Caenorhabditis elegans: one gene and its partners. The protein of the gene in region 2 purifies or fractionates together with the protein of the main gene of each other region. This does not show direct contact. Each region holds a gene or a part of one and is shown on either strand. Other genes may lie near its edges.

Region 1 (7,465 bases), on a different chromosome or scaffold from region 2:
TTTTGTGTTTGGTCTTGCAATGAATGAAGTTTCTTGTTCGCAGAATAAAAAGTATACAATCTTCGCTGTAAGATCCAGATCTTTTTTTAGGTCACATTGGAAAGTTGAAAATATTGCCAAATCGTGGCAAGCAAAAAATTGCAACATGCTAATATCTTTCTAACCCTATAAACATCCCTTCAATCCCCTATTTTTCAAAACCCCACACTTATAATACCTTTTCCCTTCAACCCTTACCCGTTCCATCACTTTCCTCCCTATTTGCATCTTTCTTCTCTCACATGACCCGTGATGCTTTCTCCAAACCAGTCCCCACCATCCATTTCCGTGCTTGCATCATCATCATCATAGTCGTCAATTTTTCAAGATTGTATCTGTCTCCCTCTCGTTTCCCCACAGCCGACTTAACAAACACCTCTTTTCCGCACTTTCCGCACCAAAAACATGTTTGCGTCTCTCCGTGTTTTCTACCGAGATAGCCACACGTCAAGTAAGCGCCAGTGATCTCTCAATTGATAATACTTTTTTAAAAGGTTTCTCAGTTAACTGAACAATTGTGAGGAAGATACAAATAGTTATGACGTGGCTTAAAAAGAGAAAAATGATGATGAAATAAATCATCACTATTCATTGCTATTCGTTAGAATGCAGGATATAAATCACGATTTTCGTTTTCGAACACAACTTTAAACTTCAATTTTTCCTTTGTTTCTCTGAAAACTTTGCAGTCATTTTCAAGCTTCCACAGAACTTTACAAAAAAACTAGATTTTCTCCAACGTGGCGATATTCCCGAGTTTCGAGAAGAATCCAGCTTGTCAATGCTGTATAAAACCTTTACTTTTCTATCGTTTCCATTATTTCTTTCACTGCACCTGTTACTGCCAGGTGCTTTATTTCCGCCTATCGTCTATTTTGTTTTCCTCCTACCAAATTTGACAACCCTCCGCAAACACTCATTCCTATTTTAGCCCGGTGAAATTTCGATATGGAGAAAAACAAAAACAAGTGTGAGCTTCCACTTCGGAATAATTTCCGGAGAATGAGAATTGTACAATTTTCTCCTATAAGACCATACAATAAAATTTTATCAGAAACATGAAGCTTTGGTCATTATCATTTTTTGTTACCCTTGAAATTTGATCACAAGGCTTTAATTTTTCATGAGACGTCAATTTTTTCTGATGATAAATAACATAGTTCAAAGTATTGCGTAATGTTTCAATTTTAACATGACACATAATAAATCAGAAACTCGAAAAACGTATTTAAATATAGATTTTGTCGGGAAGTTTAATGTGCAACTGTCTCGATATCTTTCTTTGAAAACATTTAATTTTTATTATATTTTCCAAACTGGATTCGAGAATTCTCGTATTCTTAAACAAATTTACAATGAAAATATAAATAATTAATTTAAAGGAACATGTTCTGCAATCCTCCCTGGGTCCCGCCACGAAACCGCCACGCACTACCATGAAAGGCGCGTTCGCATTCGTTCTGCCGCTCGTTTCTGTTTTCCAGATCTTTCCATCATTTTCTTCATTCATTCGCGCTCTCTCATTATCTTGAGTTGCCGGCTATTTTCGCTGCTCTCTGCTTTTTCGTATCGCTTTTTCACTCTTTCCAGCATTCAGAAAATTGCATTATTTCGGTTTTCATTTAAAAAACTCATAGCAAAGTATTTTGTTATTGATTTCGCAATACTTTCGAAAAGTATCGGAAAATTTTAATGTTTAGTCTGTGCGTTCCTCATTCCCTGTTCTCGTTGTACTCTTAACTGATGTTTTTAAATTTAGTTTTCCGGGGCTCTCTTGAAAAGACCCAATAGTCGTATTGAACCTTCGCCTGATCGCCACTAGCTCATCTTTTAGTCTTATGACGGGCTCACATGATTCTCCCCAGTGTCCTCCCGTTTTCTCACTGCACTTGTTTTGTCGTTCGTTCATCAGTACAAAGTACAAGCACTTTCGCGTCTGTCTGAAAATTGGTTCGGGTGCCGTTAGGACATTATTCATACTTTCCTGCTAGTCGCAGATTATAAAAAAATGTCCTTGACCGTCTGCTCTTTCTTATGTTCTCCCTATATATGCGTCAAACGAACAACTGACCCTGTTCACTTTTCCTATTCTTCGTTTCATCATTTTCTGTAACAAAAATGGAAACAATACTTTACACAGACGTCACTATTATTCAGGCCTATGATTTCTCTATCGTTTAGTTAAAGATGAAAAGAAACTGGTCGACCCAGTTGCATGACGAGAAAAAAGAACACCCCGTTCGATTTTCGTTGTATTCCCTCTGCACACATTGTCCCCTTCTTCCTCATCATTTCTTTCCCTACACAGCACTCTAGAATGTTCTTCTTGTGCAGAAAGAGTGCCGTTTGAGTCAGCGACCCCCCCCCCCCCCCTCCTTTCTCTTGCTCTTCCTCACTGGTTCTCGTAATAGGCGACTTCTTGCTAACAGAAAGTGAGCATAGCAACATTTTTTACTTTGTGGCCTTCAATAATACGTGCGTCGTTTAATTAGAATGTTTGAGTAAAGTTCAACGTGTAGATTCAATATTCACGTTTTGGGCGCTCTTTAATTTATTACTGTCAAGAATCAGTTTACCAAACGGTGAGTTTCTTTTTTTTTGTCTAATTGTAAGATTTAGCGGGGTAAAACCAACAGAAATGTCATGCTTTTTTGAATAATCTCAATCAGTTGTTATATGAATTATTTTCCCATTTTAGCAATACTGCTTGGTAGTTATTTTCGGTCAGAGAAACGAGGACATCAGCTGAACATCTGCGTCTCTAACAACACTCGGGGAAGGCGGAGTCAGTGTGCGCGTGCGTTGGGGGTTTTATCGATCGTTGAGGCGGGCATACAGCAGTCATACACCCCATTCGACCAGAACGCTCCGCTCGCGTGCCACCTTGTCTCCATTCTCATTTCACTTGTCTCTACTCGGACATTACTCCTCATCGATTAGCTCTTTACTACCATTTTACTTTTATGCCTTTCTTTTTTCGTTTGACTTGCCTATGACGAGTGGGGATGAAGTTTGCTTTGTTAGTCTTACTAGTGTATCGATTTTTTGGGTAATATTTCGCAACTTTCTAGGACTTTCTTTCATAATCACCTCTTCTCTCGCCTCCTCATTCCAGTTTTATTCGCACTCATTTTCTATTTTTTCAGCAATCATGCAAATCTTCGTCAAAACGTTGACTGGAAAAACTATCACCCTGGAGGTGGAGGCTTCCGATACCATCGAAAATGTCAAAGCCAAGATCCAAGACAAGGAAGGAATTCCACCAGATCAGCAGCGTCTCATCTTCGCCGGAAAGCAGCTCGAGGACGGCCGCACCCTGTCTGACTACAACATCCAGAAGGAATCTACTCTTCACTTGGTTCTTCGTCTTAGAGGAGGAATGCAGATCTTTGTCAAGACTTTGACTGGAAAGACCATCACACTTGAAGTTGAAGCTTCCGACACGATCGAGAACGTCAAGGCCAAGATTCAAGACAAGGAGGGAATCCCACCAGATCAGCAGCGTCTTATCTTTGCTGGTATGTTACATATAACAAATTTTGTTCATGAGAGACTAATTTTTTTCCAGGAAAGCAATTGGAAGATGGACGCACACTCTCTGATTACAATATTCAGAAAGAGTCTACTCTCCACTTGGTGCTCCGCCTCAGAGGAGGTATGCAGATCTTCGTCAAGACATTGACTGGAAAGACCATCACACTTGAAGTCGAAGCTTCCGACACGATCGAAAATGTCAAGGCTAAGATTCAAGATAAAGAAGGAATCCCACCAGATCAGCAAAGACTTATCTTCGCCGGAAAGCAGCTCGAGGACGGCCGCACCCTTTCGGACTACAACATCCAGAAGGAATCAACTCTTCATTTGGTTCTCCGTTTGAGAGGAGGTATGCAGATCTTCGTCAAGACATTGACCGGAAAGACCATCACCCTCGAAGTCGAAGCCTCCGACACCATCGAAAATGTCAAGGCCAAGATCCAAGACAAGGAAGGAATTCCACCAGATCAGCAGAGACTTATTTTTGCTGGTACGTTGGCAAAATATCTAATATTTGACCTAAAATTTATTATATATTTTCAGGAAAGCAACTCGAGGATGGCCGTACCCTTTCGGACTACAATATCCAGAAGGAATCAACCCTCCATTTGGTGCTCCGCCTAAGAGGAGGAATGCAGATCTTCGTCAAGACTTTGACCGGAAAGACTATTACTCTTGAGGTTGAAGCTTCTGACACTATTGAGAACGTGAAGGCCAAGATCCAAGACAAGGAAGGTATCCCACCAGATCAACAGCGTTTGATCTTTGCCGGAAAGCAACTCGAGGATGGCCGTACTCTCTCCGATTACAACATCCAAAAGGAGTCTACTCTTCATTTGGTTCTCCGTCTCCGAGGAGGAATGCAAATCTTCGTCAAGACTCTTATCGGAAAGACCATCACCCTCGAAGTCGAAGCCTCCGATACCATCGAGAACGTGAAGGCCAAGATTCAGGACAAGGAAGGAATTCCTCCAGATCAGCAACGTCTCATCTTCGCTGGAAAGCAGCTCGAAGACGGCCGCACCCTTTCGGACTACAACATCCAGAAGGAATCAACTCTTCATTTGGTTCTCCGTTTGAGAGGAGGTATGCAAATCTTCGTGAAGACTTTGACTGGAAAGACTATCACCCTCGAAGTCGAAGCCTCTGATACCATCGAAAATGTGAAGGCCAAGATCCAAGACAAGGAAGGAATCCCACCAGATCAGCAGCGTCTTATCTTTGCCGGTACGTTATATAGATATACATAACTCAAATCAACTATTATTATTTCAGGAAAGCAATTGGAAGATGGGCGCACGCTCTCTGATTACAACATTCAGAAGGAATCTACTCTTCACTTGGTTCTCCGTCTCCGAGGAGGAATGCAGATCTTCGTCAAGACTCTTACAGGAAAGACCATCACGCTCGAGGTGGAAGCTTCTGACACTATTGAGAACGTGAAGGCCAAGATCCAAGACAAAGAAGGTATCCCACCAGATCAGCAACGCTTGATCTTCGCCGGAAAGCAACTCGAGGATGGCCGTACCCTTTCGGACTACAATATCCAGAAGGAATCAACCCTCCATTTGGTGCTCCGTCTCAGAGGAGGTATGCAGATCTTCGTCAAGACATTGACTGGAAAGACCATCACACTTGAAGTCGAAGCCTCTGATACCATCGAGAATGTGAAGGCCAAGATTCAAGACAAGGAAGGAATCCCACCAGATCAGCAGAGACTCATCTTCGCCGGAAAACAACTCGAAGACGGTCGTACCCTCTCCGACTACAACATCCAAAAGGAGTCTACTCTTCATTTGGTTCTCCGTCTGAGAGGAGGTATGCAGATCTTCGTCAAGACATTGACCGGAAAGACCATCACCCTCGAAGTCGAAGCCTCCGACACCATCGAAAATGTCAAGGCCAAGATCCAAGACAAGGAAGGAATTCCACCAGATCAGCAGAGACTTATTTTCGCTGGTGAGTTCATATTGTTTTTAGAATTAAAACTAATTTTTATTGTTTTTCAGGAAAGCAACTCGAGGATGGCCGTACCCTTTCGGACTACAATATCCAGAAGGAGTCTACTCTTCATTTGGTGCTCCGTCTCAGAGGAGGTATGCAGATCTTCGTCAAGACTTTGACTGGAAAAACCATCACTCTCGAGGTCGAAGCTTCGGACACCATTGAGAATGTCAAAGCCAAAATCCAGGATAAGGAGGGAATCCCACCAGATCAGCAACGTTTGATCTTTGCTGGAAAGCAGCTCGAGGATGGACGCACTCTATCCGATTACAACATCCAAAAGGAGTCGACACTTCATCTCGTTCTTCGTCTTCGCGGAGGAGACATTTAAATCGAACCCATCAATTCACTCGTTATTCCTCCTCGATCTCCGTTCAAGTAACAATTATTTATTCTTTATTCCTTCGGGAATTTCTGTATTTTAATGAACGAGCTCTGAATAAATTCATTTTCGTGTACTCAAACGATTTATCTTTAACAATAACAAACAACAAAGATAACTACTCTATGAAGTGTAAGGTTCAACTATATTTATAGATCAGATGCTGGATTGTCCTATGAGTTGCGCTTTCAATGTCTGCGAATTGGCGTCGGTGATCAGAATCTTTGCATATTGACCAGGTTCCAAACAGAGTTTCGAATTGTCGAACACTGCTTTCACACCACCATCGATCCTTCCATGTGAAAATGATGCATCCCTTTTTGACTTCTAAAAATATTATTTTAATTCATTTTATTGGTGTTTATAGATGACTCACTCCTTCCAACAAAACCGTCTGTTCCGACCCGATAAGCGCTTGGTTCAATTTCAATGCTTCTTCCCGAAATACAGTAGTCAAATCTAAATGTCTTCTTGCTTTTACATCTTCTGGAACATCGTCTGTTAACCGATGATGTGCTCGCGTTTTCTGAAAATAATCTGATAGGAACAATTTTCAGCAACTGACTCACTCCACGCATACTGTAGGGGAAAACGAAGCAGAATGAATAACGAACGGCTCGAATGAGGGAAAGTGTGTTCTGATGAGCTTGTTCAGTTTCTCCACAGAATCCGGCAATGAAGTCACTTGTCAGAGAGACGCCTGATAAAATAATTAAGTTTTGTTTGAAGAGTGATTCATACTCACTTGGTAAAACATGTCTAATATCATCAACTAATCTCAAATACAGATCTCTTGTGTATCCTCTTTCCATCCGTTCCAATGTCTCATCATCTCCACTTTGTGCTGGAAGATGAAGTTGTTTGCAGAGATTTGGACGGGATGCAATAAGCTCGATCAACTGAAGGTTATCATGATTATCAATTAAAGCTTCATAAAAGTTACCTGCATCGGGAAATCCTTTGGATGCGGGGAAGTGAACCGAAATCGGATATCTGGAGCTGCATCAGCGACTTTTTCAAGCAATGTTGTAAAGGTCAGGCCCCCACTTTTTGGTTTATAAACAGTCTTAAAACCGGGAACTCTGTCCTCTTGTGATGTCGATGGAGCCATTGAGAAATCCATCGATGTCATATCTCTATAGCTATTCACATTTTGTCCAAGTAGTGTGACCTGTTTGTATCCCTGATCTCGAAGCCTCTGAACTTCTTCTACAATTGATTCAATAGGCCGACTTCGTTCTCTTCCTCTTGTGAATGGAACCACGCAGTATGTGCACATATTGTCACAGCCTCGCATGATCGAACTGAAGTTTTAAAATGTTTTTTTAAAATTGAAATTTTTAAATCGACAAACATGAAAGCCGTCTTGGAAGCACTATCGACTCGAATCGGTTGCACATCTGCATACGTTTCATCGAGAGAAAGTTGCACATTAATTCCATTTGAACCACCTGCAGCAACTGCGACAAGGCGAGGAAGATCTCGGTACGAGTCTGGACCTGTAAA
Region 2 (9,250 bases):
GAAAGAAACAGTCCAGGAAGGCTGGTTCACAAAGTGATCAACGAGTCGTCTACGTTGAATGAAATTATGGAACAAAAGCTTGATATGTTGATTCCTGGTGTTGTCTGCTCGCTGTTCTCCATTGTTTGCGCGTTATGGATCAACTGGAAAATGGCTCTTTTGTGTTCCTTCCAGTTCCCAGCATACTTTGTTATCAGAATATTACAAATCAGAGAAGGAACGAAGAGGTAGCCAGTCCATTAAATTTAGTCCGTTTCAAAAGTGTATTTCAGACAAAGACAAATGGTGGATGAAGAAAAAAAAGCTGCTAACTTAGCGTCCGTGGTGCTTGCAAACATGAGTACAATCAAAGCATACAATCTACAATCTCATTTTTATAACGTTTTTTGCGATGCTTTAAAACCAGTATCACAGTGAGTACAGTAATCGGTTGATTTAGTTCTAAAATTTGATTTTCAGATGTATGCAAAAACAATCCCTTATTTCTGCTCTTGTTTTTGCATGTCAATACTCGTTCACCTATATCCTTATTGCAATTACTCTTCACTTTGGAAAAGTGATGATGCTGGCAAACGAAATTAGTGTATTTGATTATATGAGGTAACCAGAACAGATCAGCAGAAACATAAAAATAAGAAAATGTCATTTAAGAGTTGTTCTGCTCACTCAGTTTGGTGCCAATTTCTTCTCACAACTCATCGCATCTGTCAGTGACTTTACCAAAGCGCAGATTGCAGCTGAAAACGTTATGAGGGTGATAAGAGAACCACCCGTTGACATGGATAACTTATCAGAGGAAGGCTTAAGACCGGTAAAATTATTAACTAAGCCAAGGAAATACAAGTTTTCTATTTTAGAAGCTGGAAGGAAACCTCTGTCTTAAGGATGTTTCGTTCAGATATCCTTCAAGACCCATTGTACCAGTGTTGACTAACTTGAACTTGAAGGTCAGTGTTTTTTTTAATACTTATGGGTTTCGTTCCCCCAAAATGTTCTTTTAATTATTTAATACTGAATTTTTAATTTTAATCCACACGTGAAAGTTTATTTTAATACTATTTTCATTTTCAGGCTTAGGAAACCATCTTCCTAAGCCTGAGAATGAAAAAAAGTTCACGTCTCTATCAAAAATTATGGAAAACATATTGAGGGGAACGAAACCCATAAGTACCTTTTTTGCATCGAATTTCAACGATCAACTTAAAGGTCAGGGGTGGAGAATCAATTGCACTTGTAGGACCTTCCGGGTCCGGTAAATCCTCGGTGATTTCTTTGTTCCAACGAATGTACAACGCCACGGATGGTGTTGTTATCATTGACAAGTACAACATCAAATCTATAAACCCGGCCTATTTAAGAAGATGCATTGTACAAGTCGGCCAGGAACCTGATCTTTTCTCTTTCACCATCAAGGTATCTTTAACCATTTATCAAAATCACAATAAAATGTTCTTGTTCTTAGGAAAATATTGCTTTTGGAATGATGGAAAGCGAAGCAACAATTGATAAAGTTATCGAAGCTGCAAAGATTGCGGACATTCATAATTTTATCACTAGTTTACCACAGGTGAGTTTAAAAATAAAACACATTAAAACAAAGCAATTTAGGGCTACGACACAGAGGTTGGAGAGTTTGGTGCCCAGCTCTCTGGCGGTCAAAAACAAAGAATTGCAATTGCCCGTGCAATTATCAGAAAACCAACTGTTCTACTGTTAGATGAGGCAACATCGGCATTGGATAGCGCCAGCGAGAGAGAAGTTCAAAACGCTTTTGAACGAGTCAAGAGGAGTACGAAGACTCAATGCACGTGTATTCAAAGTAAGAATTAGTATATTGAAACTGAAAAGTAATATTTAATGCGGTTTAAACTCTCAGCCAGTACGTCACGAGAATTGGCAAATCTCTAACGGGAAAAATGTTTTTTTTCCAGTCGCTCATCGTTTATCAACAATTCGAAACGTCGACAAAATATACGTTATTGTTCATGGAGAAATTGCCGAGGAAGGTAGCCATGAGCAGCTTATCAACTTGAAGGGTATCTACTACGAAATGAATCAAATGACGTAAATGAATTTGTTTTGGCATGCAAAAACTACACTCTGAATCTGGAATTCATAATTTGTAAATAATAGTTGTTATTTTTATAAAAATTTTCTTATCTGACACACTTTCTGAAATTGAAATTCAATAAAAATTCACTTTATTCAACATATTTTGCATGCCAATTCATGAACCCGTATACAAATAATTAGAATCTCATTTTCAAGGAATGTGCAACAAATATCCGACTGGGGTGGTGGAAAGTGTGGGGGTCTATGTTATAATTAAAAAATTAAAATCGACTATTCCTAGAAGGATAATAATCAGACGAATGACTACTCGGACCAGGGTTTGATGGAAGGTCGTTGTAAACTGGTGGACTACGGTCATAGCTGTTATATTGAGGAGGCGTTGGTCGCGGATAACAAGATGCTGTGGCATGGGGATCCAAGTACGTCTCGGGAGGTCCAATTGAGTATTCTGGATACATTGCTGGTGGGGAATGGTACATTGGTGAGTTGTATGGTTCTGAAGAAATATTTGTTTTTGGTTCTAGGTTCATAGTTTCTTTAATAGTATATTGTCTCAATCCAATTCGAAGGTGGAGTAGCGTCAGTGAAAAGTTTAGTAAAATAATCTTAAGAAAAAAACAAAACAATCATACAGCCGAAATAAAATATTACGAAATATATGTATTCTTTCAAAAAGTTTTGGCACCCCCACTTATAGAGCAAATACGTTAATTAAAAACCTTCATTTCACATTTAAACAATTTTTACTTCCAAAAAATGGGTAACTATGTAAAATGAATAATTGTCAAATTTTGATTGTTATTTTAAAAAAGTTGAAAAATTACATCTATAACAATTTTCCTAAGTTTTTTTTTCGCTCTCACAATGGTAAGCAAAACTATGTATGTAGATAGAATCTTTGGAATCCTGCGTTTATCAAAGTTGGCAATATATAAAAACTTCGGGAAGTTTTCGGCAACGAACAATCGTGTTGCCGAAGCTTTGAAAATTATCGAACATATATCTTTGTTGAGCTTATATTTTAAACTGCTTTTCTAAAGACATCTTCAAAATTTTGACATCCGGCAAATGTCAAAATGGCCGAAAGTTATTTGTTAAATTTGATTAGCTTCCTAGAGCAAATTAAATTGTCATCTTATATCTTACTTGATGAATCTCGTCCGGAGCTGTTGCAATACGAATCCATCATAGTATCATCTGTTAAAGGTGTAGACCATTGCTCTCCAGCTCCCTCACACACTTCACCGCTACTATTTAGTGCTTCGCTTCGTGGGGTGGTCATGCTCATGTGACCAAATTGGCTCTGTAATACTGACTTTTTCTTAGAGTTATCCCCCATTTTGTGTTACCTCTAAATATGAATTGTATCTTGGAAGAGTATTCCTTGTCTTTTCTCGCTTCTCATACATCATCTTGAGAATATTATTTGCTAGACTTGCTGTAAATTTTCAGTTCTACTTGTCTATTGGTGTGCAACGTTACCTAATTCAGGGTGAGTTTGAGATTGCATTTGAACATTTTGAAGCATTTTAACAAGAACGTCATCTCTGTCAAGTACGTTTGCCATTTGCTCATGATGCATCAAATTATAAATCAAGGCCAGAGCCGATGATTTCGTGTTCTCTTCAACGTTGGCTTTTTGTAATACAAAAATTGGAAGAGTATGACCATCGCCCATTCGGCTATTTTCAGGAGTTTGCAGGAAGAAAACAACCTATAAATTGAAATTTGGGTTTTCAACCTGAAAACATTAATACCTCGTTGAGAATGTCCTGGTCTCTTGTAATCCATCGCAGGATTTGAATACAAAGATGAATGATATCTTTCACGCGGACACCTTCGATAGATTCTTGCTTGAAATCCAACAATTATTAGTCGGTTTGTTGACTTTTTACTTACCACATTCAGCTGGGTACATGCCACTCTCAAAATATGAATGAGTTGCTCAACAAAACCTTTATCTCCAATTCGGCATGATCGGAATGGAGCAAGAAGGGCATGTTGGGATACAACTTTCAGCAGGAGCTAAATTAAATCTCAATTTCTTATTAGCCCTTCAAATTAATGACTTACACTCAATGTGTGTTTCAGCAATACTGGTCTCATTGTTAACAATTTGTGTAGAAATAATGCAGGATCTCGGAAAACAAATGCTTGGACCTTATCTGACATTGGATGTCCAACACAGAGATGCCGTAGCGTGCAAATTAGGCTTTCCTGAAAACCGTATTGTTAAGCTTTGAAATTTAAATGTTATTACAATATAATCCTCCATTTGCTGTGCTTCTTTATCTCTCAAGTCACCCATCTCTTTGGTGGCAATTGTTAAAGCTCTCACAAGAATGACAACCCCATTGTTGCCACACATAAACTCCTGGAATTAAAATTAATACTATATCTTGATTTCTGACAAAAGCACCTTGTTATGCCTGTTGTTTGCAACTAGATTTGACATTATCTGAGCAGAATATAGACGGATTGTTGTATTTCGAGAATTGACCAGCTCCAGAAGAGATTTCAAAAGTAAATCTTCTTTTATTTTGCTTGGTACGTCACTTATATTTCGCAAAGTTTCAAGGGTTGATTGTACAAGTCGCGGACTACCATGTGAAAGAAGATTGGCGAGAATTTGGCGACCACCAAAAGCAACAAGATTTGGAGCGTCCTGGAAAAGTTCAGACATTACATCCTTCAGTTTCAAATATTTCTTACAAAGTTCGAAAATGTTTTCAAAAGTTGCGTAGTTCGCCAAAGCAAATTTTCATAAACTCTGTGTTGTAGTAGCATGAGCAGTTTTTGAGGTCCTCCCATTTTCACAAACTTGATTTTCTGTTCGGTGTTCTTTTCACACAAAACTCTGATCAAGTCAACTATCACTGGAAGAAGTTTTTCTGATTTCTCCGCTTCTAACCACGGAGTCACATGCTGCAATTTTTTGTAAATTTTTTTTTTTCAATTTTTTTTCTTCTTTAATCTTACAGTAATCGCATCTTGTTGACGCGCAATGATCACACTTTGTCCGCCTCTCTGCTTATCGGACAGAATCGAATGCATAGTAAGAATGGCATATTTGTATATTGAACTTGGATAAGTACTGTAACAGCTATTTGAATGATTTTTTTCTGAAATTTAACTTTCTTACCCAATATGCCTAATAAGATTTGGAATTATATCAGGTTGTTCTGCGATCGCTCGAGTGACAAGATCAATTCCTTCCTGTCGGTTGCAAATGTGGAAGAATGTTCCCAAAGTGCAACGAATGATGTTCTGAAAATATATGATGTATTAAACTGTGCAAGTGCACAAGCTATACCGGGAATTCAACTTTGTCACGGAGAAGATCACGCAGTGTAAATATAACACGGGGGTCCACAATTCGAGCTTCATTTTGCCGTCGCATTGGGTCACACTCCATCTTCGCAATATTTTGCATCAGAATTACAGCTTTGTGCACAACCTCCTGTAAGATTTTTGTTTGAATAATGTTTTTTTCAGCAGAACAATCAATTTTTTTAAATTTTTTCCAGATACTTCAATTTTGATAATCGATTTTAAATGTTACAAACAATCAAAAGTTCAAACACCGGCTTCATCAGTAAGCAGCATTAGAACCAATTTATCTTTGTGTTAATATCAGTACTGAAATCAAAAGTTCATAGTTTAATTTCAGATTTTGTGATTTGAAAATTTAAGTGAATAAATTCGACTAAATATTTTTCTTACTGTAGATTTGATAATTTATTTTGAGTAATTGAAAGTTAAAAATCAATTAACATCATATTATACCTAAATGAAATAATAGTAGTCCAGTAATAGTAGTAATAGTAATAGTAATAGTAATAATAGTAATAGTAGACATACGTTTCTAATTTTTTAAAGTTTTTTTTTCAAAAATTTCAGTCACAGTTCTGATAAGTTGCTAAGTTTTCCAAAAATTTGTAACATTTCGAGCATTGTTGCATGTTGGAATACAAGATGTTTGAATATAATTAAAATATAAAAAATAGGTCAAAACCGAGGATTTTTTTAATTCATATATTGTGAAATTATGAGTATGAATATTTCAAAAAAGTTTTGAACAAAAAAATCTTACATTATCCTGATCTTTCATAAGCATAGTGAGTTCTGGAATTGCTCGAACTGTGTTATACTGCCCATCCGCTTGATTTTGCGTGATCCCATCAAACTTTTGTTTTTGCTGGAAGAAAAATAACAATTTTGTCCACCAGCGCATTTTGATATGAAATGGTCTTACTTGATCTGAAAGAGTGGGGATCGGCTCATAGTCGGCCATGGATGACATTCCGGAAAGATGCGATGACGGATGTAGAGATGATATAATAGATGGAGCCTGAAATTGAAACACATTAATCTTTGTTGTGTGTGTGTGTCTATCTCTCCTCTGTTTTCTCGTACCTCACTGTGATTCATTGTTTGGAAACCGCTATCAAAGTTGTGATTCCGCCACATATCCACCTTGCGGTGGCCGGTGCAGGGCGTTGAGCCCATGTGTATATCCGAATAGCTCGAGGTGTGTTGCTCCCTGTAAAAAATATTTTAAAACAGTTTTAAAATTTTTTTTTTGATAACTCCCAACATCAAAATAAATTGTTTCTTTTCCTCAAATTTGCAGGCTCGTTCAATCAAAAAAACTTACATTGTAAAAGATGCCTCTGATAAATTTGTGTCGTCATGGTTAATAACTAGGTTCGGATCCAGGTCCATCCCAGTTTTCTGAAAAAAAAAGCCAAATATTTTTTTATGAATCAATTCGAACAAGAAAAACGATTTGTCTGCCGGATGAAGAGAAAAAATAGGAAAAAGCAGTGAAAAAACTGAATGAACAAAATGTTTGAAAACATTACAAATCTTCCTGCTGGGCACAAGAAAGAGTGTGTGGTGATGGGGCGGTGAAATAGTGAGATAGAGAGTCTAAGGCTTGTGTAATGAAGAAAAAGCAATAATAGAAATGAGCGGTTTGTACCTAACCTAGAGTAAAGGGCTATTGATATCAGATGGCTTCTATTTCACCCCCAATCATTCCCATCCCCTTGCCCGTCCCGCTCGCATTATTCAACCCATTTTCTTTCGTGCTTTCAATCACCTATCAGTGAGTGAGCAGCCAAAGGTGTGAAATTGGCTAATAAAATTTAGAGGTATGTTTCAATAATAATGATTATCTGTGGTGAAACGAGAAGGCACACAGTCATCAGTTGTGGGTTTGAAATGAACAAACGGGAAAGACGGGGGAAACAACTTTGATAAGGATGTATTTGGGAGGAGAACTGGGAAGGCTGGGAGAGAAAATAGAAATGGGATAGCTTAGTCGTAAATTATCAGTTGGGATAATTAGTCGACTCTTATTTATCAAGTCCTTCATTTTTATTCTTCTTTATTTTCTTATTCATTTATATCATATCAGCATAACGACCCAGATTTGCTGTTTTTCAAAAGGTTTCTAGTGGAAAATCAAACAAGCCATCATTTGGTTTCCGTTAGACAGAATCGTTATCAGGATTATTCATTTTAGACAAAAGTTTGGTCAATAGGAAAGTGTTAATCATGGCAAATTAGAATAACCAAGAGTACAACCTTAAAAATAATTTTTAAAAATTGTGTTAACTTTCAAATTGCAGGATAAAATTGCAAACTGTGAATGATAAAAAAAAGTTAATTTTCTTTCAGGCTAAGTTTCTGGCATTCAAATTATTTAAGCAAAACTTTGATTGTTATTTATTATAATTTTATTGGAGTTCACTACTATAAATTATGTTTTTTTTATTGTTTCATGCAATGGATCAATTGCTAATTTTCATGATACACTTTTGAAAAGGTTTTTTTTTATTTCCGCTGAAGAAAAGCATCATCATTAATATGACTTTTTATCCTGTTTTCCAATACTATGAACTTTGATTTTTTGAAGGACACGTTAATGACTCATTTAGTGGGTATGAGTTGCCTATTGTTTGTACATTTAAACACTTTCACAGACAAATTGCATTTACTTGTTATGTACACAATGTCATAAAGACTACAACTTAAAAATTATATTAATGAATTAACTATCTTTCATACTATTCTGAAAAAGTTTTTGCTCAATTTATTTTTTAAGTTGTAAAAACTTATAATATATTATTATTTTACAACCGGAAAAAAGTGAAATTACGTCGAGAAAAAGCAATAAAAGAAGAATAGTTTGTTTAAGAAATGGAGAAAAGTGTTGCAACGGGTGCTCCATGTCGGGGGTTTACTGATAACAGTGTTCTCCTTATGAGCAATCTTTCATAAAGACATCATTTAACATTTCAAAATCTTACAGGAAATTGGAATATTTAAAAAATCAGTGCTTCCGTCTTGTGCTAAAAAAAAACATTTTTAACCTCAAAAGTTATTTTAACTTGCAATGTGTGTTATTTATGACTATTGCAAAAAGGATCTCATAAAAAAATAACTTTTTTTAACTGAAATTTTTCAATCCTTCACCAATTTTTCAATACAGGCGTCAATATTCCAAAGTTGGGTTTCTAAAAAGATGATAAGTAAAGATTGCGAGAAATGAAAATTTTAACACATGATAATGATACATATTATCAATTTTGAAGAAAAGAATAAGACGCAGTGGAATGTTGCAGTGTTCATTTGGAAGTAACTGAACTAATATAATAATTCGAAAAAAAGTAGATACGTAAATATACAGTTGTCAGAATAAGTGCTTTAATTTTTTCTTCAAAATTCTACGTGATTATTTATTTGAAAACTTGTTGGACACCAACAAACGCAATGAATATTATCTTCAAATTATTGCCACCTCAAACTCCATTTGGAACATTACCTAAAAATTAATATAATATTTTTGGCCGTAGAGCCTCATAGAAGAAGTATTTTGGTACTTCCATTTCAAATTTTAGTTTTTCCGGATTGAAAACAAAACAAATTATTTCGGTATTTCATGAAAACCGGATAAAATAACTGTTACAATTATTTCTGAATGGCCACGTGTCCCGGTTATTTCAGAACAAATCGCACCTTGCAGCGCGCCCATGTGACCATGCGATTGTTATTATAGATTATAAAGAACTACAGAAAAAAAAAACAATGGAGATCAAAATTCATGGGAGACGGTAAAAAGATAGACATTTTTCAGCAAAAAGATTGACGATAAGAATGAAGGATTCAT
Region 3 (8,136 bases), on a different chromosome or scaffold from region 2:
CAAGACCTAACGGAAATTGCCACATTTTGATAACTTTCCTTCTACCTGATTTTTCAAATGATACTTCTTCATAATTGTATATTTTTTCAGTTTATACAATGACATTGCAAGAAATTGTTGCAATAACAACATTGGAACATGTGACATCTACAGCAAATTCTTTGATCCAAATTGTAGAGACAAAGTTATCAATGTAAGTTGGAAACAGTTTCTCTCAAAAATGTTTTAAATTTCAGGCACTAGATGGTACTAATGAGCTTAATATGTACAACTTGTATGATGTTTGTTATTACAATCCAACCACAAATCTCAAAAAAGCTTTTATCGAAAGACAAATGAGAATAGCCGTCGGATTACCAGCAAGAAAACATAATGCAGCTACCGTAATACTAGATTTCAGAAACTACTATAATTTCAAAATACTTTCAGACAGTTCCGCTTTGTGCTCAAACCAATAATACACATGTTTATTTGAATAGAGCGGATGTTCGGAAAAGTTTGCACATTCCAAGTTCTCTTCCAGCATGGGAAGAGTGTAGGTTGGTTTTTGTGGGGTCTATGTCTTCTCGGTATTACCTGGAGGAAAGTTTGCTAGAATATTGCGTAGTGTCATCTTACAATTAATTAATCCTAATTGTTTTCTCTTACAGCGACCAAGTTGGAAAGAATTATGTAGTAACACATTTCAATGTGATTCCCGAATTTCAGACAATGATTGCTGCAGGAATTAAAGTTTGAATATTTCAAATTAATTTCAAGTATTTAGAATTGTTTAGATTCTTGTCTACAATGGAGATGTGGACACTGCTTGTAATTCAATCATGAATCAACAGTTTTTGACATCACTCAACCTGACAGTTCTTGTTAGTTTCTCTTGTCTTTATTTTATATTTAACTTTTATTTTTTAGGGAGAACAGGAGAAAGTGAACGAGGCTTGGCACTACTCCGGCCAGACTGGAACTGCAGTAGCTGGGTTTCAGACCAAGTTCGCCGGAAGTTTGTTGCCTTTAATATCATTTTAAACCTACATAACCATTTACAGATGTTGATTTTTTGACCGTTCGTGGAAGTGGCCACTTTGTGCCTGAAGACAAACCTAAGGAATCGCAGCAAATGATTTTTAATTTTATCAATAATAAGGACTATTCTACTCCTATTCAACTTTGATCATTGACTGTGATTTATTAATTTTTGGAGAAGTTTCTATTTAAGGCAATAAAAAGAAAATTGAGTTACTTAAAAGTAGCGAAAATCTGGGAAATATTTTTAAATGAATCCAAATTTGCCTCTGATTCCGAATATATATGTGAAAAAATTCAAAAAATCTTCATTGATTTCACTACTCCATCTTTAAACTACAAAACTTAATAAATTCTAATTTTTGGTAATTTGGCAGTTTACCAAAAAGTTTGGCTGAATTTTTTTTGAGTGTTTTGTTATGGTACAGAAATACGTTTCATGTTTTTTTTTCAAAATGATTTACAAAAAAACTTCAAATTTCTAATTGTTCCTTGCCAATTGTACTAATGTTGACCTTTAGTATGCACCAATGATAACTGGATATTCTGTTTTTGGCAGATAGATATATTTGAATTTCAGATGAGTCTAATGAATAATAAATACCACGAACCTAGCCATCATTCGTGTTTTTATTTAACCAATAGAAGCACCCATCGAAGAAATAAAGGGTATAATGATTTTTCAATGAACCTGTTCAACATCCTAATGTCTTTTGTCTTGCAACAGAAGTTGACAGAAATTATGTGGTATTACGTTTAAGTGTAATTCTCAAATTTCAATGTATGGTATCAGCTAATTTAAAAGTTTGGATATTTCAAATTTAGTACAAAACTTAGAAAGTTTCAGATTCTATACTAAAAACAATTTTTTCAGAATTGTGAATTCCTTGAAAGTGTAATATACATGTAATAGAATAAATTATGTTTATGGGATACGTTTTGCAAATTTTTATTATAAGTGGTTTCGAATTTATCCGATTTCTGAAGCACAATAGGTCTTGCCACGAACAAAAAACTTTGAAGCAGATGTTGCACAAAAAGGTGTGCGCCTTTAAAGTTTACAGTACTCTCACTGTCCTCTTTCTGATGTATTTACTTGCGTCTGAAATCCTGAAATAAAAACCGCTAGACCAACGAAAACAAGATTTTTCAAACGAACACAAAACAGACGGAAAAGAAGGTAGGTTGAAAAAGAACGAGAGATATGTCAATCTAAATGTGTAATAATATCTCGAATTTCGGGTCTGAAAATCAAAAGTCGAGCTGAAAATGTGATCAGCAGACAGAGGGAGGTAGTATTAGAGTGCACGGGGTGCAGAAAAAGTACGAGAAATACCCTTTCCCACACTGTTTTCTCTTGCTTTCTCCGCTTTTCGCTAGTTTTAAAGGTGAACAGAATCCAGTTGGATTGGGCTAGACATCACATAAAATGCGGAGATTTAGAGAAGGCAAGCGCGCCCTAAAGCAAAGAGGGCGTGCACGAGACGGCGGGTCGATTCAAGCTCTAACTGTCTGCGTCTCCACTATTGAAAGGTGCTTCACCGCTGTCTCTAATCCGATTTTCTTTCTCTTTTCTACCTTCTTTTCTGTCTTTTCTTTTTTGTTTCCTTCTCGTAACACTCAAATCTTCCTTTCGTATAGTCGTTCGTTTTCATCGTTTTCCGTTAGTTGTGTATTTTCAGGAAAACCTGAGATATTTTCAATTTCCGAACGTTTGTTCTCGTTTAATGCCCAACCGCATCATAAAAACGTTAAATATGTTTCTCCCAAATGGAGAAAAGAGCAAATTTATGATTGAAAAACTAAAAAAAAGTCATGACTAAATAGTTATTATGCTCATCGAAAAATTTGCCAGTTTAAATGCTATTTTATCGATTTTCTGAAATGCCCTGAAATCTTTGATTAAAATCACTATTTTGATTCTCTATCGAGACATATAAAAGATTCTTGATTTATTTTTTAAAATAAGTTGAAATTATAAACACAAATTTGACGATAAACACCAAAATGTGCGTTACCTTTTCATTTGCAATACATATTATTTAATAAGTTTTTTAAATGTCAATCTTCAAATATTGTGTTGTTAAATTCAAACTCCCAGATGTTTTATTTGCTATTTTCAGCTGAAATTCAGATATTCCTATAACAATTTATTTTTCTATTTGGATTAACCAGTTCACTGATTCTGTAAAAGATTACGAAATCAAGAGAATTCTCGAAACAAAAAATTCATTGCAACGTTGATACAATTTCATCTTCGGAACATTTTCCCTTTAATTTCCTTTAAATTTCGATGATACTGATTAACTCACCTGATTATATGAGATCTTTCCGACTTTAAATTGATTTTTACACAAAAACATTGTTCTCTAAATATCGACATATTTTTATCTTCTAATCAATCAACACTCAATAATATCCATTTAATTCAGGACATTAAATGTCTTCACCGCACCGAGCTTCAACAACTCAGCAGCTGGCGGACTTATCGTTGACGGAAGGTGAACACGATGAGGGCAAACCGCTTTCTATTGACTACCTTCAAGGGCACGAAGGCCTGATCGAGGTAAGGAAAACGAGATTTCCCGTCATTCTAGCGCCATCATAATGTCGTTTTGATTTTTTTTTTTTTTTTTTTTTTGATTTTTCCCAAATCTTTCTTCAACTATCATCACCTTTTTCAGGAAGTATTAAAATGGAGTGAACACGAACAGCTCGATTTTATGGACAAAATTGTTCATCGATTATCACATTATCAGTTGGGAAAAGTCGACAACTTTATCAGGCCCATGCTCCAGAGAGATTTCATTAGTAATTTACCAGGTAAAATTTTTGTCTGTTCAGTATTAAACTAATCTAATTCTATTTTATTTCAGCACATCTTGTCGAATTAATTCTGTTTAATGTAAACTCGGATTCATTAAAATCTTGCGAAGAAGTGAGCACAAGCTGGCGATGTGCACTCGCCCGTGGTCAACATTGGAAGAAATTGATTGAAAAGAATGTTCGAAGTGATTCCCTGTGGTGGGGACTTTCTGAAAAAAGACAATGGTTAGTTGATGATTTAGTTTATCAGAAAATAGGAATAAAATACTTGATTTCAGGGACAAATTCCTGAATATCAGTCGAGACATGTCAGTGCGACGAATCTGTGAAAAATTCAACTACGATGTGAATATTAAACGGGATAAGCTTGATCAGCTCATTTTAATGCATGTCTTCTACAGTAAATTATATCCAAAAATCATTCGAGATATTCATAACATTGACAACAACTGGAAACGTGGAAACTACAAAATGACTCGAATAAATTGTCAATCAGAAAATAGCAAAGGAGTATATTGCCTTCAATATGACGATGACAAAATTGTATCTGGTTTGAGGGACAACACTATTAAAGTCAGAATGATATTATTTTGATTTCAAAATAACTCTGATATTTTTAGATTTGGGATAGAAAAGACTACAGCTGCAGTCGAATTCTTTCTGGACATACTGGTTCCGTTTTATGCCTTCAATATGACAATCGTGTAATAATTTCTGGATCTTCTGATGCCACAGTACGTGTCTGGGATGTCGAAACTGGAGAGTGCATTAAAACGTTAATTCATCATTGTGAAGCTGTTCTTCATCTTCGATTTGCTAATGGAATAATGGTAACATGCTCAAAAGATAGATCGATTGCTGTCTGGGATATGGTTTCGCCACGCGATATCACAATTCGAAGAGTTCTTGTTGGTCATAGAGCAGCTGTAAATGTCGTTGATTTTGATGATAGATATATAGTCAGTGCAAGTGGAGACCGAACTATTAAGGTGAGAATTTGAAATTAAAAAACTGCTTTTCCAGTTATTAAGAAGCTTTTTTTTTAATTTAAAGGTGTACTTATCGTTTGAGTCTCGTTTACTATTCTTGCGGTTCTGAAAATATTAATTTTTTTCAATATTCAGGTCTGGTCAATGGATACACTCGAGTTTGTTCGAACATTGGCTGGCCATCGACGAGGAATTGCATGTCTTCAATATCGTGGACGGCTCGTTGTTTCTGGATCCAGTGATAACACGATTCGACTATGGGATATTCATTCTGGTGTATGCCTACGTGTTCTTGAAGGCCATGAAGAGCTCGTGCGATGCATTCGATTTGACGAAAAACGAATTGTCTCCGGAGCATACGACGGAAAGATTAAAGTATGGGATCTTCAAGCTGCTCTAGATCCTCGTGCATTATCTTCGGAAATATGCCTCTGCTCATTAGTTCAACATACTGGCAGAGTGTTCCGCCTGCAGTTTGATGATTTCCAAATTGTTTCCTCTTCACATGATGACACTATTCTCATTTGGGACTTTTTGGACGCTCCACCCAGTGGGCTTCCGTCTTCAACAAACAGAGTAAGTACAACATCTGGATCAAATCTGTTAATTGAGAAATGGCAGTACATTTGATAGTCTTCAAAATTCGCAAATACACTTTGAAGAAAAAAAAGTGCTTGCAAATTTGTAGTCAGTTTCTTTTCCGTGATTCATATTTATTTTTCTAGGCCACCCTCCCAGAACTTCCAAACCAAGCTGCTGTCGCTCGAGCTCAAATGCTTTTTGAAATGGCTGCTCGACGAGAAATTGAGCGACGAGATAGAGAAGTTGTGGAAGAACCTGCACTGAGGCCACGTGCCAATGCTGCTCGTCGACACAATGCCGATATTGCAGCAGCTGCAGCAGCGGCGGAAGCTGCTAGAGGTGCCGGGGACAATGATGAATCGTCATCAGAGGAAGATCTGGACAGAGTTGATCAGGTTAATAATCCGAACGTGGCTGGACCAGCGCCACCGCAACCACACAATCAGAATCATAGAAGGAGGCAACCAAGACCAGAATTGCCTGTCAGACTTATGGTAAAATTGAAAATTGAATGATGAGACTAAAGATTGACAAGTTTCAGCAAGAAATGGCTGCTTTTGACAATATGCGCCGACAACAAAATAATATGGATCACCTGGGCGGAGGCGACGTAGACGAAGAGATGCCAGATGGTGGCCCATAAAATCTACACTCCTTCCCATTTTTTTTTGAATTTTTACTGATCTTCAACCGGTGCAGAAATCAACCAAACCCTCTGTAATCTTCCTTGTCATTTTCCAAAAAAGAAAGTTGAAATTCCTTTGTACAGTATCCTTTTGCATCCCCTTCCCAACTTTTCCTCTCACTATTAACTGATCTGATTTCATGTGATAATAGTGTGTGTGTGTGTCTCTGCATTCTATTCATCTTTTCTCAATCGACATATTGGAATATCGCACGCACAACCCCTTTCTTTCTTGTTTTTGTAACCGCATTCGAGTCCTGGTTTTTCTGAAACTATTTTTTTAATACTTCAATTTTCAAAGTCGCATGCTTTGCGGGTGCCCATTCATCCACTCTCACCATTTTATTTTGTTTTTCATCCCTCTTCCCATTTCTCAACGGTTTTTCTTCTACGGCGACGATTCTAAATGCTTCTATCCCCCGCTTTCCTCACCCGCACATTTTCAATCGCTTCACACAAATCTGTTTCAAATAATCGTTTTCGTTCCTAATTTTTCTCCCCTTCCATTGCCTCCAATTCCAAATTTCTTTTATTCGCTCGGAAAATTGTGTTCTGTATAGTTCGAAATGATATAAACAAATTTGGGTTTTGCTACTCCACAATCTGCCATTCCATCTTTTTTTCTAAATTAGAGTTTCTCATTATCATTCTTCTGTCACTTCCTGTCTTTCCTACGTCATTGTCACTGACAACTTTGCAGAACCGATTTGAGCATTTCTGCAACTTTCTTCTATTACATCTCTACGTCCCCATTCTTATCACACTATTTATTTAGTCATGTGACAAGAGTGATAATGAGAAAATAATTAACCTTCCACTGAATCCCAGTTTTGTAGTAGAAAAAAGTCAAAAGTTATAATCGATAAGCATGCAAAATCAAGTCATGCGACAGTTAAATGACAACATATCGATTAGATATTTCACAAGAAAGTTTACGGAATTTTCCATATTTCAATTGCAATTCGATCAAAAATGTGACAGCTCAAGTGTTTGGCAGATCAAGTGTTTGGCAGATGGGTGGTGTCACATTTTAATGCCAAAACTAATATTTCTCCTCTGCAAAAGCAAAAAAGCGGTAAGTTTGAACCCGAAGTGTGGCAAAAAAAGTTCAATTTGGCACACACCTTTGAGTTCTTATCAATTTCCGGAGAGGTTAGAATGGGATTATTGTAAAGTTCACGAATTGTCGGAGATTGGAATGTTTCACAACTATTTTCATAGTGGACACACTATGTAGGATGACTATAGATTTTTGATTTAATACGAATTCGCGAAGCAATCAAAAAACGAGTACAACACATTGAAACCTAGACGATGACAAGTTACAGTACCCTTTTCAATTGGTTTAGGAAGCGATTCAGCAGTAAATGTGATTTTTTTCTGTTTCAAATGAATACCTGGTTTTCGTGGATAGTATAAATATTTGTATTGTTATTCGAGACAGTTTATATAGTTGTTCACCCAATCATCGTTTGCATTAAGTTGTCAATACTCTAGAATTAACTATGATGAGCCAAATAACGATGCTCACTATTTTTTGCCTTCTGAATAAAAATAAATCATGTTGAGTGTAATTGAAAGTTCGAAACGTTCTACTACTGTAATTCAATTGAAATGTAAAATTAAAGATGACCTGATTTCATTTTGAATACCACACAAAACTCTACTTTTTAAGCGCAAATAAAAGTTTTTATACACATTTTTGAAGGATATAAAATTTTTTTTTTCGGTAAATATCAATTTTATTTCATAGTGTATTTCATTCTAAAACTAAAACAATGTAATTTTGTACTTTTTCGTGTAGACAGGAACTTTCTTGTGATTGTAGCTATGATCGTAGTTTTGTGTCAGAAACCACAAACCCCCCAGAATGTAGGCTATTTTATTAGGTGCAACTTTTTGAAGTAATCAAACATCTAATAAACATCAAATCCACCCTCACTCAAATGCCAGTTTCTTTCTGATCTCTAGAATTTTCAGTTGAATTTTGAATTAGTTTCAATGAGTTATTTAATGTTTTTTTTTTGGAAAACA

Evidence for each region. Proteins that work in one complex are often made in the same cells at the same time.
Region 1: the proteins of bar-1 (region 2) and ubq-1 purify together in Caenorhabditis elegans (affinity purification with western blotting, with the first as the bait; one study listed by BioGRID). This does not show direct contact.
Region 3: the proteins of bar-1 (region 2) and lin-23 purify together in Caenorhabditis elegans (affinity purification with western blotting, with the first as the bait; one study listed by BioGRID). This does not show direct contact.

The regions. Positions count from the first base shown.
Region 1 is NC_003281.10:5,937,801-5,945,265, forward strand, and holds ubq-1 (Ubiquitin-related), read left to right. Parts: upstream 1-3,185; 5' UTR 3,186-3,190; coding exon 3,191-3,557; intron 3,558-3,607; coding exon 3,608-4,063; intron 4,064-4,116; coding exon 4,117-4,800; intron 4,801-4,848; coding exon 4,849-5,532; intron 5,533-5,582; coding exon 5,583-5,908; 3' UTR 5,909-6,027; downstream 6,028-7,465. Other genes in the region: F25B5.5 (CDK5RAP1-like protein), read right to left, coding at 6,116-6,286, 6,336-6,485, 6,529-6,659, 6,705-6,858, 6,903-7,263, 7,314-7,458. UniProt on the Caenorhabditis elegans protein: Ubiquitin exists either covalently attached to another protein, or free (unanchored).
Region 2 is NC_003284.9:7,163,819-7,173,068, forward strand, and holds bar-1 (Beta-catenin/armadillo-related protein 1), read right to left. Parts: upstream 6,808-9,250; 5' UTR 6,799-6,807; coding exon 6,731-6,798; intron 6,617-6,730; coding exon 6,490-6,616; intron 6,425-6,489; coding exon 6,329-6,424; intron 6,272-6,328; coding exon 6,167-6,271; intron 5,534-6,166; coding exon 5,387-5,533; intron 5,341-5,386; coding exon 5,216-5,340; intron 5,168-5,215; coding exon 5,053-5,167; intron 4,999-5,052; coding exon 4,786-4,998; intron 4,739-4,785; coding exon 4,493-4,738; intron 4,448-4,492; coding exon 4,334-4,447; intron 4,291-4,333; coding exon 4,147-4,290; intron 4,099-4,146; coding exon 3,973-4,098; intron 3,927-3,972; coding exon 3,831-3,926; intron 3,788-3,830; coding exon 3,556-3,787; intron 3,512-3,555; coding exon 3,423-3,511; intron 3,377-3,422; coding exon 3,220-3,376; intron 2,570-3,219; coding exon 2,334-2,569; 3' UTR 2,187-2,333; downstream 1-2,186. Other genes in the region: pgp-10 (P-GlycoProtein related), read left to right, coding at 1-227, 273-413, 460-600, 652-811, 858-947, 1,207-1,413, 1,463-1,567, 1,609-1,819 and 1 more.
Region 3 is NC_003280.10:6,367,853-6,375,988, forward strand, and holds lin-23 (F-box domain-containing protein), read left to right. Parts: upstream 1-3,450; 5' UTR 3,451-3,460; coding exon 3,461-3,586; intron 3,587-3,704; coding exon 3,705-3,843; intron 3,844-3,896; coding exon 3,897-4,071; intron 4,072-4,124; coding exon 4,125-4,419; intron 4,420-4,466; coding exon 4,467-4,835; intron 4,836-4,970; coding exon 4,971-5,411; intron 5,412-5,560; coding exon 5,561-5,911; intron 5,912-5,952; coding exon 5,953-6,060; 3' UTR 6,061-6,698; downstream 6,699-8,136. Other genes in the region: Serine carboxypeptidase ctsa-4.1, read left to right, coding at 91-193, 237-383, 430-539, 651-732, 777-863, 910-997, 1,044-1,168. UniProt on the Caenorhabditis elegans protein: Functions cell autonomously to negatively regulate cell cycle progression. Required to restrain cell proliferation in response to developmental cues. Probably recognizes and binds to some proteins and promotes their ubiquitination and degradation.